Stegostoma tigrinum: one gene and its partner. The protein of the gene in region 1 interacts with the protein of each later gene in a biochemical or structural test. Links are inferred from orthologs where the notes say so. Each region holds a gene or a part of one and is shown in the gene's direction. Other genes may lie near its edges.

Region 1 (7,034 bases):
AATAAGGCAAGGCAGGTAACTGAGGTGTCAGTGGGGGAGCACTTTGGGTTAGTGACCATAATTCTATTAGTTTTAAAATAGTGATGGAAAAGGGTAGACCAGATCTGAAAGTTCAAGTTCTATATCAGTAGAGGGCCAATTTTGATAGTAAGAGGCAAGAACTTTCAAAAGTTGATGGGGGGGGTGGTGTGGATGTTTGCAGATAATGAGAATGGCTGGAAAATGGGAAGCCTTCAAAAATAAGTTAACGAGAGTCCAGAAACAGTATGTTCCTGTTAGGGTGAAGGGCAAGACTGGTAGGTGCGGTGAATGCTGGGTGAGAAATTGAGGTTTTGGACAAGAATAAGAAGGAAGCATATGTCATGTATAAATAGCAGAGATCAAGTGAATCCTGAGAAGAATATAAAAGCAGTAGGAATATACTTAGGAGGGAAGTCAAGAGGGCAGCAAGGGGACATGTTAGCTTTGGCAAATAGGGTTAAGCAGAATCCAAACCACAAATATATTAGGGACAAAAGGGTAACTAGGACAGAATAGGGCAACTTAAAAATCAGCAAGCCCACTTATTTGTGGAACCATAGGAGATGGGGGAGACACCAAACAAGTATTTTGCATCAGTGTTTGCTCTGGAGAAGGATATGGAAGACAGAGAACATGGGGAAATAAATAGCAACATCTTGAAAAATATCCAAAATACAGAGGAGGAGGAGCTTGATGTCTTAAAATGCATAAGAGTGGATAAATCTCCAGGACCTGATCAGGTCTACCCGAGAACTCTGTGTGAAGCTAGGGAACTGACAGCTAGGTGCCTCAGATATGTGTATCATCAATAGCCTCAGGTGAGGCAGCAGAAGACTGAATGTTGGCTGAACGGTGACCTTATAGAAATTTACAAAATCATGAGGGGCATGGTTCAGGAAAATAGACAAGGTCTTTTCTCTGGGGTGAGGGAGTCCAAAACTAAACAGCATAGGTTTAAGATGAGAGGGAAAGATTCAAAAGGGACCTAAGGGACAACATTAAAATGCAGAGGGTGGTACACGCTGGGAATGAGCTCCCAGAGGAAGTGGTGGAGGCTGGTACAATTGCAACATTTAAAAGACACCTGGATGATACATGAATAGGAAGAGTTTAGAGGGATATTGGCCTAATGCTGGCAAGTGGGACAAGATTTATATAAGATATCTGGTTGGCATGGACAGGGGTCTGTTTCCATCCTGTATGTCTCTCTGACTCTATAACTGTCCACTTGTTGTGATATGGTCTTCCAGTGCACTTTCAACTCTCAAACTTTAATGAGAGAGACTTCAAACCAAGACAGGTCAAAGGATAACAAAGTGTGGAGCTGGATGAACACAGCAGGCCAAGCAGCATCTCAGGAGCACAAAAGCTGAGAGAGCCCTCTGATGAAGGGTCTAGGCCTGAAACGTCAGCTTTTGTGCTCCTGAGATGCTGCTTGGCCTGCTGTGTTCATCCAGCTTCACGCTTTGTTATCTTGGATTCTCCAGCATCTGCAGTTCCTCTTATCACAGGTCAAAGGATATTGCTTTTGAGGAATGTTATCTCCGACCGTGTTCAATTTTAATATCTTTCCCTGCCACAGTCTGGGTCATGTGAATTCAATCTGAACGTCTTTCTTGTAAAAGCTCTAATCTGTGACTACCTCCCCATATGTGCTACGCATGTTGTCCTTTGCTGCATGGATGTACAGCAGTGACCCAAGATACTGCTAGAATTCCAAAAGCGGGACCTCAAGCATGTGCAGCTGAAGACACTTTCTGGGATCATCTGGGAAGCATGGTATGTCCCTGACTTCACACATACTGCAGGATCTCCAATCTGCCTGTCCCATCTGACTTAGAACATAGAACAATACAGCGCAGAACAGGCCCTTCAGCCCTCAATGTTGTGCCGAGTTGCCATCCCATAACTCTGAAAACCTCTGTTATCGTTAGAATCAGTACTAGCCTCTGAAAACATAAGAAGCTATTGTTCAGGAAAAGAAGGGTAAAACACTCAGGATTTAAACTAAATAACCAACTTTCACTTTAAAGATGAGAAAAACTAAAAATCAGCTGCTTTCCCGGCTTCAGGATGTCACACTGCTGTTGGTTTAAGTACACATAAGCCCCTTGATCTCCACCTTATTTCCTTTCTCGGTCATCCCTTTCTCTGAAGACTTTATTCCTTACAGTAAACCTTAATTCAAACACGTCTCCTTCCCCTCTTTCCCGCATCCCCCCCACTCCGGTCTGCCCTGAATTCCAACTTGTACCCAAATTCCCAGATACTCACTTCTGTCTCTGTCTCGCTCAGGTGAAATCTCCTTCATGCTAACCTTGCAGCTTCTTCTGACCAAGTGACCATGCCCGGTCAATTATATTATAAATTAATATTTTGAATAACATATTTCCATTACAATGCATATCATTAGTTTTAATATTTCTACTACTACTTATTGGTGAAGTGGGGATAACAGGCAGGAGATAAGGTCCAGGATGTTTCGTTATAATTCAATCCCTATTTTAAAGTCATAAATTCACTTTTTAGTATATAATTGATTTTATATTATTTACATTAAAAATATTAGCAACTAATGAAGTAGACAAGAACTGGTACACTTAATTGTAGAGAGCTGGGGAGTATTACTGAACAAAGGGACCTTGGGGTGTAGGTTGACAATTCCTTGAAGTTAGAGTCGCAGGTAGACAAGATGGGCAGAGAAGGTTTTTCTGTACACTAGTCTTTGTTGGTCAGTGCACTGAGTGTAGGAATTGGTATGTTACATTATAGCTGTACCGGACACTGGTTAGGCCACTTTTGGAATACTGCACTCAACTCCGATCTCCCGATTACAGCAAAGACGTTGTTAAACTTGAAAGAATGCAGAAAAGATTTACAAGGGTGTTGCCAGGGTTGGAGAGTTTGAGCTACAGGGAAAGGCTGAATAGGCTGGGGCTTTTTTCCCTGGAATGTTGAAGGCTGATGGGTGATCTTATAGAGGTTTATAAAACCATGAGTGGCATGGATAGAGTAAATAGACAAGGTTTTTTCCCTGGGGTGGGAGAGTCCAAAACTAGAGGGGCATAGGTTTAAGATGAGAGGGGAAGAATTAAAAATGGACCTAAGGGGCAACTTTTCCACGCAGAGGATGATGCATGTATGGAAAGAGCTGCCAGAGGAAGTGGTGGAGGCTGGTACAATTACAACATTTCAAAGGCATCTGGATAGGTACACGAATAGGAAGGGTTAAGAGGGATATGGGCCAAATGCTCGAAAATGGGACGAGATTAGGATATCTTGTCAGCATGCACGATTCGGACTGAGGGTCTGTTTCCCTGTTGTATGCCTCTGTGACTCCAGCCAGTGAACTTTGGGGTCTGAAGATAAAGATCAACAATATCAGGGTTACAGCGCCATCAGTGGTGGAAGGCCATAATTACAGCATGACAGGTTTACATAGGAAATATTTAGTCTAAATTTAAACCTAAGGAGTTTAAGGGGAAAATAGCCTGGAAGTACAAGAAGAACTCGGTTTATGCAGGCTGGTGTATTTAAATTTAAATTCTTCGTTGTTAGGGATATATTATAACAAATAATTAGAATCCTACCCGAATCTGGTTAAATACTGTTTTGTCTTAATGCGGTCTCAAATATAAAGGGATTTTAAAGATGAATACGTTTGCGATTTGTGAATCGTACTCGATAGGTGAAGGCGCTAGACGTCTGGAAATTTTCACCAAAAAAACTGTGCAGAAGTTCAACTCTTGTTGGAGATCAGGGAATCTGGAGAATCTGTTCAGATTAAAACGAGGGAGGGGAGGAAGGGAGAGAGAAAAATACTTTTGTTTTCCTGCGGGTTGGTGGAAGTGGCGAAAGGGTTGCAAAGAGGAAACGTATCTCACTTGATGTTAATCGTTGCACACATTTCCTTCAAACAATTTCCTTGTGGTTTCCACGGCTGCTCGTCCCCGGAGCTGCTCGGAACTAAATCTCAGCTTGTACCTGACCCACGGGCTCTGAGTTACACGTGTGTCTGCGAGAGAGAGGCAGAGAAGAGGAATTTAATATTTTTCATTTCTTTGATCGGAGACTTCAAACACTCCAGGATTGGACATCTAGAAATGAAGAAAGCTTTTACCTTTTCTGTCTGGATTTGGTTTGTAGCCGTGTGTAAATCAGGTAGGAGTCAGTGTTTGCTGAAGGTTCGAGCTGCGGATTGTTTGAGTGTTGTTGAGGCAGGCGAACTGTGGAGATGTTTGAAATGAAGTTGCACCTCCGAGTTGGATTGTAAATTGCTCTTTTTTTGTGTGTGGGAAACCTCTGTAGATTTGGACTTTGAAAAGTTGTGGCTGTCCTTCTGAGTAATACCTGAAGGCTGATAGGGGAGTGTTCACAAACTCAGAATTTACGAAATGCTGCAAGGATCAGTGTGGAGCCTCTTGTGTTTAGCGTTTAGCTGCGCTGTAGCAGGTAGGACGGAATCTATGTTGTAGCTTGCTCTTGGGGATGTTTTATTGTAGATTTCCCCATTTGCAAAGAAACCTTCTTCGTCTTGAGACACGTTATTTTGTTGCATTGATTTGTTCCGTCATATAAAAGAGACCGGGGTAACTCGCAGCTGATGACACGGGACAGAATAGACCTGGGGGTTTGTGCCCAAGAAAACCGTGTGAAACCGAAAAGAGATTGGGACTGATTGAGAGCAAGCTTCAGCTTTGTATCAACTCCAGTCTGCTCCCTGTCCTGAAAAGTCTGCTAGCAGGGGAACTTGAGCTAAGCGTTCATTTTTCAGTATGTTTTGTCCTCTCGTGTTTGAAGTTCTTTCCATATTTGACTGCAGTTTACTGATGGGAAAGCTCAGGAACTCCTAGCTCGCAGGTAAACTGTTCCAACATTGAAGATGGGCTTTGCTCCCGTCTGCACATAACCCCGGGTCACCAGCAATTACAGGGTCTTAAACAGTCACCATCTTCCGTAAATTATCTCCAAAGACTGTCATTTAAATTGTATGAAAACAATATTTCAATCACCACTATCGGGTTATATTGAGTTGGAGTGAATTGACGATTTTTGCTTTCCAAGTCGACACGGTGTGAGTGTAATGAGCTAAGGATACTGGGAACTCCATGTGAATTGGACGAAGTTTTCAAGATATTGATGAACCAGATATGCTGGGGATTGGAAATGAAACTGGATTGAAATTCCAATTCCACATCACTAGGCAATGAATACACCATCGTACTTCTCTGATCTCCCCCTCCTTGTCCACCCCCTCCTCCCTAAACCACTTTCCTCTCCCCAGCCCCCTGGCCTCTCCAGTAAAGGTTCAGACCATCAAACTCTTATTGAGTGTTCCTTGGAAAGAGTGAGAAGGTTGAGCCATTTGAAGTTGGGATCATTCTGTTCCAGCTGAGCTCAGATTACCTGCTTTCTGTATTAGCCTGGAGCTTGCTTTGTTCTGAATTAAAACTGTGGGATTAGTATAGTCACACGGTGAGGACTCTCTTCCCATTGCGCTCCAGATATCTGCATCTCTTCCCTTTGATTTTGAGCATACTATATTATTTCAATAATTCCCAGGATGTGGGTGTCACTGGCTGGGCCCAGCATTTATTGCCTGTCCCTAGCTGCCCTTGAGAAGGTGGGGGTGAGCTGCCTTCTCAAACCGCTGCAGTGCATGTGCTGTGGGCTTACCCACAATGTCTTTAGGGAGAGAATTCCAGAATCTTGACCCAGGAACATTGAAGGAACAGTGACGTATTAGGAGAGTGAGTGGCTTGGAAGGGAACTTGCAAGTGGTGATGTTCCGATATATCTATATACAAAGATATGAACATACCAAACTTGAGTAGAAGTGGACCATTCAGCCCCTCTGATCTGCTCTGCCATCCAAATAGATCATGGCTAATTGGTTTACATTTCAGATTCCATGTTCAGATTTCTCTCCTGGGAACCCTGGGCTGTCCTGCATAACAAAAATCTGACTTTAAAATGACCCTGCATCCACCACCTTCTGAGGCAGGGAGGTTCAAAGTGAAGAGTCACTGACCCAAAACGTTGAGTCTGCTTTCTTCCCACAGATGCTGCCTGACCTGCGGAGTTTCTCCAGCAATTTCTGTTTTTGTCTTTTGCAGCGATGCACTGGGCTGCCTATTTTTGGGAATAGCAATATTTCTGGAGACAGCTCATTCTGTCAATTGTTTAACAGTCCACCACCATTCAGGACTGGATGTGGCAGGACAGCAGATATATGATCTGAACCTTTGGTTGTGGAAACACTTAGTCTTGTCTGTCACCTGTGAAGGAAAAATGACAGAGTTAACGTTTCGAGTCCAGTGACCTGAAACATTAACTCTGTTTTCTCCTCCACAGATGCCCGACCTGCTGAGCTTTTCAAGCAACTTTGTTTTAGTTCCTGATTTACAGCGTCCGCAGTTCTTTTGGCTTTTATTTAGTCTTGCCTATCAGTTGCTCTTCTCCTATTTAGCGTGCAAGTGCTGCTGTATTGACTGCCCATTTTTAAATAAACCTGGTGACGCTCCTGGTATGACCTCTTGCACCAATTCACTGAACCAGGGTTGATCTCCTGCCCTGATGGAAATGGTGGAAGTGGGTAGACAGTTGCAGATTATGGTTGAGTAGAATTCTGCTGCTGTTAATGGCCTGGAGTACCTCATGGATGGCCAGCACTGAGTTGCTAGATCTGTTCTAAATTCATCCCATTTAACACAGCATGTTCCAATGCAATCATCAGAACTCCCCCCGCAATTTCTCAAATGCTATCAAACATTCGCATTAGAATCACAGGTGGGCCACTCAGGCCTGCTCCACCATTCAAAAGGATCTTGTTTTGACCTCAGAGATAGGAGGAACTGCAGATGCTGGACAATCTGAGATAACAAGGTGTAGAGTTGGATGAATGGAACAGACTAAGCAGCGTCAGAGGAGCAGGAAAGCTGACGTTTCTGGTCCAGACCCTTCTTCAGAAAAATTCATTTCTTCATTTTTCTGAAGAAGGGTTTAGACCCAAA
Region 2 (7,368 bases), on another chromosome or scaffold:
GTAATGCGTGGGTCAGTGGATAATGTCTGCGTCAGTCGGTAATGCCTGCGTCAGTGCGTAATGTGTGGTTCAGTGGGTATTGGGTGGAAGATAGTGGGTAATGTGTGGGTCAGTGGGTAATGTGTGTGTCAGTGGGTAATGTGCGGATCAGTGGGTATGGGGTGTGAGAGTGTGGGTAATGTGTGGGTCAGTGTGTATGGGGTGTGAATGTGTCAGTAAAGTGTGGGCCAGTGGGTAATGAGTTGGTCAGTGGGTGATGTGTGGGTCAGTGGATAATGTGTGTGTCAATGGGTAATGTGCGGATCAGTGGGTATGGGGTGTGAGAGTGTGGGTAATGTGTGGGTCAGTGTGTATGGGGTGTGAATGTGTCAGTAAAGTGTGGGCCAGTGGGTAATGAGTTGGTCAGTGGGTGATGTGTGGGTCAGTGGATAATGTGTGTGTCAATGGGTAATGTGTGGGTCAGTGGGTATGGGGTGTGAGTGTGTGGGTAATGCGTGGGTCAGTAGGTGCTGTGAGTGTCAGTGGGTAATGAGTCGGTCAGTGGGCATGGGGTGTGAGTGTGTGGGTAATGTGCGGGTCAGTGGGTGACGTGTAGGTCAGTGCATATTGTGTGGTTCAGTGGGTATTGGGTGGAAGATTGTGGGTAATGTTTGTGTCAGTGGGTAATGAGTGGGTCAGTGTGTATGGGGTGTGAATGTGTCAGTAAAGTGTGGGCCAGTGGGTAATGAGTTGGTCAGTGGGCGATGTGTGGGTCAGTGGGTAATGTGTGTGTCAGTGGGTAATGTGTTGGTCAGTGGGTATGGGGTGTGATTGTGTGGGTAATGTGTGGGTCAGTGGGTAATGTGTGGATCAGTGGGTATGGGGTGTGATTGTGTGGGTAATGTGTGGGTCAGTGAGTAATGAGTGGGTCAGCAGGTATGGGGGGTTAGTATTGGTAATGTCTGGGTCAGTGGGTATGGGGTGTGAGTGTATGGGTAATGCGTGGGTCAGCGGGAAATGTGTGGGTCTGTGGGTATGGGGTGTGACTGTGTGTAAGATGTGTTGGACAGTGGGTATGGGGTGTGTGAGTGTGGGTAATGTGTGGGTCAGTGGGTAATGTGTGCAACAGTGGATAAGGTGTGGGTCACTGGGTAATGTGTGGGGCAGTGAGTAATGTGAGGGTCAGAGGGTATGGGGTGTTAGAGTGTGGGTAACGTGTGGATCAGTGGGTATAGGGCCTGAGTGTGGGGTAATATGTGAGTCAGTGTGTAATGTGTGGGTCAGTCGGTGATGTGCGGGTCAGTGTGTATGGGGTGTGAGTGCGCGGGTAATGTATGGGTCGGGGGATGGTGTGTGTGTGTTGATTATGTTTGGGTCAGGGGAATGGTGTGTGAGTGTGTCGGTAATGTGTGTGCTGGGGGATGGTGAGTGTGGGTAATGTGTGGGTAAGTGGGTAATGTGTGCAACAGTGGATGAGGTGTGGGTCAGTGAGTAATGTGTGGGGCAGAGTAATGTGAGGGTCAGTGGGTATGGGGTGTTAGAGCATGGGTAACGTGTGGATCAGTCCGTATAGGGTGTGAGTGTGGGGTAATGTGTGAGTCAGTATGTAACGCGTGGGTCAGTGAGTAATGTGTGGGTCAGTGTGTATGGGGTGTGAGTGTGTGGGTAATGTATGGGTCTATGTGTATAATGTGTGAGTGTGGGGTAATGCGTAAGTCAGTGGGAATGTTGTGTGTGTGTGGGTAATGTGGGGGTCTATGTGTACGGACTGTGAGTGTGTGGGTAATGTGTAGGTCAGTGGGAAATGTGTGGATCAGTGGGAATGCTGTGTGGGTGCATGGGTAATATGTGGGTCAATGGGTAATGTGTGGGTCAGTGGGAAATGTGTAGGTCAGTGGGTAATGTGTGGGTCAGTGGGTAATGTGTGGGGCAGTGGGTAATGTGTGGGTCAGTGGGAAATGTGTTGGTCATTGGGTAATGTGTGGGTCAGTGGGTACAGTGTGTGAGTGTGTGGGTAATGTGTAGGTCAGTGGGAAATGTGTGGATCAGTGGGAATGCTGTGTGGATGCATGGGTAATATGTGGGTCAATGGGTAATGTGTGGGTCAGTGGGAAATGTGTAGGTCAGTGGGTAATGTGTGGGTCAGTGGGTAATGTGTGGGGCAGTGGGTAATGTGTGGGTCAGTGGGAAATGTGTTGGTCATTGGGTAATGTGTGGGTCAGTGGGTACAGTGTGTGAGTGTGTGGGTAATGTGTGGGGCAGTGGGAAATGTGTGGGGCAGTGGGAATGGTGTGAGTGTGTTGGTAATGTGTGGGGCAATGGGAAATGTGTGGGGCAGTGGGAATGGTGTGAGTATGTGGGTAATGTGTGGGTCAGTTGGTAATGTGTCGGTCAGTGGGTATGAATTTGTATACACATCTGTGGTCCAGTGGGTAATGGGTGGGTCAGTGGATATGGGTTGTGAGTGTGTGTTTAATGTGTGGTTCAGTGGACAAAGTGTAGGTCATTGGGCAAGGTGTGTGAGTGTGTGGGCAATGTGTCAGTCAGTGGATATGGGGTGTGAGCGTGTTGGTAATGTGTGTGTCAGTGGGTAATGTGTGTGTTAGTGGGTAATGTGTGGGTCAGTGGGTAATATGTCGGTCAGTGGGTATGGGGTGTGAGTGTGTGGGTAATGCGTGGGTCAGTAGGTGCTGTGTGGGTCAGTGGGTAATGTGTGGGTCAGTGAGTAACGTGTGGCAGTGGGTATGGGGTGTGAGAGTTTGGGTAATGTGTGGGCCAGTGGGTAATGTGTTGGTCAGTGGGTGCTATGTGGGTCAGTGGGTGATGTGTGGGTCAGTGGGTAATGTGTGGGCCAGTGGTTAATGTGTGGGTCAGTGGGTAATGTGTGGGTCAGTGGGTACTGTGTGTGCCAGTGGGTACTGTGTGTGAGTGTGAGGGTAATGTGTGTGTCAGTGGGTGATGTGTGTGTCAGTGGGTAATGTGTGTTTAGGTGGGTACTGTGTGTGTCAGTGGGTAATGTGTGTGTCAGTGGGTAATGTGTGGGTCAGTGGGTAATGTGTGGGTCAGTGGGTGATGTGTGTGTGTGGGTAATGTGTGGGCCAGTGGGTGATGGGTGTCAGTGGGTGATGTGTGTGTCAGTGGGTAATGTGTGGGCCAGTGGGTGATGGGTGTCAGTGGGTGATGTGTGTGTCAGTGGGTAATGTGTGGGTCAGTGGGGAGGGGGTGTGTGGCTTTGGTGTTTTGTCATGCTGTGAGTGCAGTAGGGCAGCCAGCAGTGCGGGCTCGGACTGAAGTCTGGATCCCATTTAAACCATATGCTTCTGCAGTTTCTGAGGGGGTCTGATGCGTCACAATATTTGAGACAAAGTGTGTGTGTAGCTCTGTGCGATCGACAACTCCGGGATCTTTTAGAAGATGTGCTCCCATTCCATGCTTTCAAAGTGAAGGATGGTGAACGTAGCTGGAAAGTTCCGTCACTTCTTTGCTGAAGATTACAAAGGAGAAAGTTGATTTTAGCGCCAGTGAAGTAATCACTTCTTTCTTGCTTTGTTTTCGGTGTCTGAGCTGAATCTGAGGATTTCACATGATTGATGCTGGAATGCACAATGTTCTGTGGATCCTTTTCCTGGAACCTGGCTCTATTGTCTGCACTGGATAGCAATCTCAGTTTTGTCATTTGAATCCCAACCTTTCCGTTCCATGGATCCTGACACAACTTTCGCCTGGAATATGTAACGAATCTGCTGCAGATCACAATGCTTTGCTTGAAAATTGTGAGACAGTTTCAATAATTAGACTCGAAGAACTCGCATACTGGTGAAGCAATGTAATGCTGAGCTGTTTGTATCCGTCGCTGTAAGGTTCTCCCAGTCTGATGAAATAGAGATCACCGCAGTGACAATTAACTCTTTAGATCAAAGGTGTCAGAATGAAGCTGCCGTCCCGTGTCTGTGTGCATGTCATCATTTTGTCACTTCTCCATCTTTTGCAGGGTGTTTACGATGAACGTGACTCCAGACTGGTAGGTGAACTTCTGTCGCTGCACCAATTCCTGTCGCCAATCTCATTCTGAACAAATATTTGTCAACGACCCTGATTGAAAATTTCTCACACTTCATGCGCTGCATCGCACGCATTCCTGTCCGAATATATAAGGAAGTCAGCAGCAGATTTATATGACTTGCTGCTGGACTCCTCTGGGAACTCATGTGTTTTGCATGTTGTGGAGTTGTATCTGAGTTCACAGAGTGTTTTTTTAAAAAGTCACAGGAGGAGGCCATTCAGTCCATCAAGCCCAGATCAGTGCTGTTACTCAGTGCCGTTAAAAATGAGGTATTCTTATTTTAATGGTTTTATACTTTTATAGGATGTGCGTGTCACTAACAAGACCAGTGTTCATTACCCACCCCGTAACTGCCCTTAAATGCAGTGCCTTTGGTAATTTTGCGGACTGGTAAGAGTCAATCACATTGCTGTGGGCTTGAGTCACATGTAGGCCAGACCAAGTAAGGACAGCAGATTTCCTTCAGCAAAGGGTATGAGTGAACCTGACGGGTTTATATCACAATCGGTAGTTGTGTCATTGGTCACCTTTACTGAGTTGAGCTTTCAAATGACGACTTAATGAATAGAATTTAAATTCTACCAGCTGTCAAGTTGGGACTTGGTCCCATCTCCCATAAGATCATGGTAGCGAAGAAGGCATTTGTTGGTCAATGCATTGAGTATATGGGAGTTGGGAGGCCACGTTGCAGCTGTGCAGGACATTGGTTAGGCCACTTTTGGAATGCTGCCCTCAATTCTGGTCACCCTGCTATTTGAAGTATGTTGTGAAACTTGGAGGAGTTCAGAAGAGATTTACGAGGATGTTGCCGAGATTGGAGGGTTTGAGCTACAGGGAGAGGCTGAATAGGCAGGGGCTGTTTTCCCTGAAGTGTTGGAGACTGAGGGGCGACCTTATAGAGGTTTTCAAAATCATGAGGGGCATGGGTAGGGTAAATAGCCAAGATCATTTTCGCCAGGGTGAGGAAGTCCAAAACTAGAGGGCATAGGTTTAAGTTGTGAGGAGAAAGACTTAAAAGGGATCCAAGGGGTTAAAATTTTGTCAGAGATAATAGGAACTCCAGATGCTGGAGAATCCGAGATAACAAGGTGTAGAGCTGGATGAACACAGCAGGACAAGCAGCATCATAGGAGCAGGAAGGCTGACGTTTCAGGCCTAGACCCTTCATCAGAAAGAAGGGTCTAGGCCCAAAATGTCAGCCTTCCTGCTCCTATGATGCTGCTTGGCCTGCTGTGTTCATCCAGCTCTACACCTTGTTATAAAACGACCTGAGGGGCCACTTTTTCACACAGAGGGTGGTGCTTTTATGGAATAAGCTGCCAAAGGAAGTGATGGAGGCTGGTACGATCACCATATATGAAAGGCATCCAGATGGGTATATGAATAGGAAGGGTTTAAGAGGGATAACACAGTGTGGAGCTGGAGAAACACAGCAGGCCAGGCAGCATCAGAGGTGCAGGAAAGCTGATGTTTCGGGTCAGACCCTTTTTCATTTCCAGCTCCACACTGTGTTATCTCTGACTCAAGCGTCTGCAGTTCTTGCTATCTCAGCGTTTACAGGGATATGGGCCAAATGCTGGCAAGTGGGACAGGATTAATTTAGAATATCTGGTCTGCATGGATAAGTTGGACCGAAGGGTCCATTCTGTGACTGTCTGGCATAAGAACAGACCTCACATGCAGTGTCACTCAATGGAATCATGGCTGATCTGATAATCCTCAGCTCCACTTTCCTGCTTTTTCCCCATAAACATTTGATCTCTTCCTGATTAAAAAAAAACTCGGCCTTGAATATACTTCAACAGCGCTCTGCACAAAAAGAATTTCACACGTTTATAAAACATTTGAGAGAAGAAATTCCTCCTCCTCTCTGTCTTAAATAGACGAATCCTTATTCTGAGATTGTGCAGAGTGGTCCTAGGATCTCCCACAAGTTGAAACAACCTCTCCACACCTACCTAAGCTCCCTAAGAATCGTTGTATGTATCAATAAGACCACCTTCTCATTCTCCTAAACTCCATTGTGTACAGGCTTGACCTGTTCAACCTCTCTTCAAAAGGCAGGCAGTCCTTTCAAAGCTAGGATTCCTTTACTCATTCACAGGATGAGGGCATCACTGGCCAGGCAGCATTTATTGCCCATCCCTAATTCCCCAGAGGGCAGTTCAGAGTCAAGGACAGTGCTGTGGGTCTGGAATTGCATGTAGGCCAGCAGTTTCCTTCCCTAAAGAACATTGGTGAGCCAGAGGGGCTTCTCCCCCCACAGCAATGGACTCATGGTCATCATTAGACTCTTAAATCTAGATTTTTATTGAATTCAAATTCCACCATCTGCCAGGGCAGGATTCAAACCCAGGTCCCCAGAACATTATCTCGGTCTCTGGATTAACAGTCTAGTGATAATACCACTAGGCCACCGCCTCCCCATGGATGAATTCAGTGATTCTTTTTTGGACTGGCTCCAATGTCAACATATCTTCCCCCTAGATCGGCGGGGGTGGGGTGGTGATAAAACACTTTGCAGTATTCCAGCTAAGGTCTAACTATGCCTTGTATAGATTCAGCAAAACAAGCATGACTCCCGCTTTGTGAAGCCAATGCTGACACTGCTTGATCATGCATTTTCCTAAATTCTCTGCCCTTACATCCTTCATGATAGATTCTAACATTTTCCCAATGGCGGATGTTATACTACCTGGCCTTTTGTTACTTTTTTTTCAATCTTCCTTCACCTTTTAAATAAGGAGCTTCCCAATCCTCTGTGACTTTTCCCAACTCTAAGGATTCCGTGAAGATTACTACCAGTGCATCCATTATCTCTGCAGTTCCTTCCTTTAATATCTTTGTATTGATCTTTAGTTCCATTATTTTCGCCAGATTTTTTTTCTCTAGTGACGATTATTGTATTTGCATCTTCTCTTCGTTTTATCCGTCAATTATTTTGTAATTTTGGAACGCTATCCATCTCTTCTACCATGAAGACTGATGCAGAGTATTTATTCAACACCTCTCTCCCATTCCTTGTTCCCCATTATTATTTCCGCAACCTCCTTTGCTAAGTGGCCTATATTCACCATTCTCTATCTGTTCCGTTTTATGTATTTAAAGAAGGTCTTACAGTCCAATTTGATTGACTTGCTACTTTATCCTTAAAGTTTATTTGAACCCTTTTTACGTTTTTTTTGGTGTTACTTAGTTGGTTTTAAAAACTTTCCCCACTACCTGTTTTACCATTAATCTTTCTGTGGTTTTCCTTCAATTTGATGCTATCCTTTGCTTCCGTTGTTGGTTTATTCCCATCCTAGAATTCTTCTTTTTCACTGGAA

The links. The genes of interacting proteins can lie anywhere in the genome.
Region 2: the proteins of flt4 (region 1) and vegfd form a complex in vitro, tested with the Homo sapiens proteins (2 studies listed by BioGRID). The link is inferred for Stegostoma tigrinum from reciprocal best matches to the Homo sapiens genes FLT4 and VEGFD.

What each region holds. Positions count from the first base shown.
Region 1 is NC_081366.1:12,011,537-12,018,570, reverse strand, and holds the start of flt4 (vascular endothelial growth factor receptor 3), read left to right. Parts: upstream 1-3,944; 5' UTR 3,945-4,124; coding exon 4,125-4,182; intron 4,183-7,034. UniProt on the Homo sapiens protein: Tyrosine-protein kinase that acts as a cell-surface receptor for VEGFC and VEGFD, and plays an essential role in adult lymphangiogenesis and in the development of the vascular network and the cardiovascular system during embryonic development.
Region 2 is NC_081365.1:76,200,066-76,207,433, reverse strand, and holds the start of vegfd (vascular endothelial growth factor D), read left to right. Parts: upstream 1-4,154; 5' UTR 4,155-4,185; coding exon 4,186-4,311; intron 4,312-7,368. UniProt on the Homo sapiens protein: Growth factor active in angiogenesis, lymphangiogenesis and endothelial cell growth, stimulating their proliferation and migration and also has effects on the permeability of blood vessels.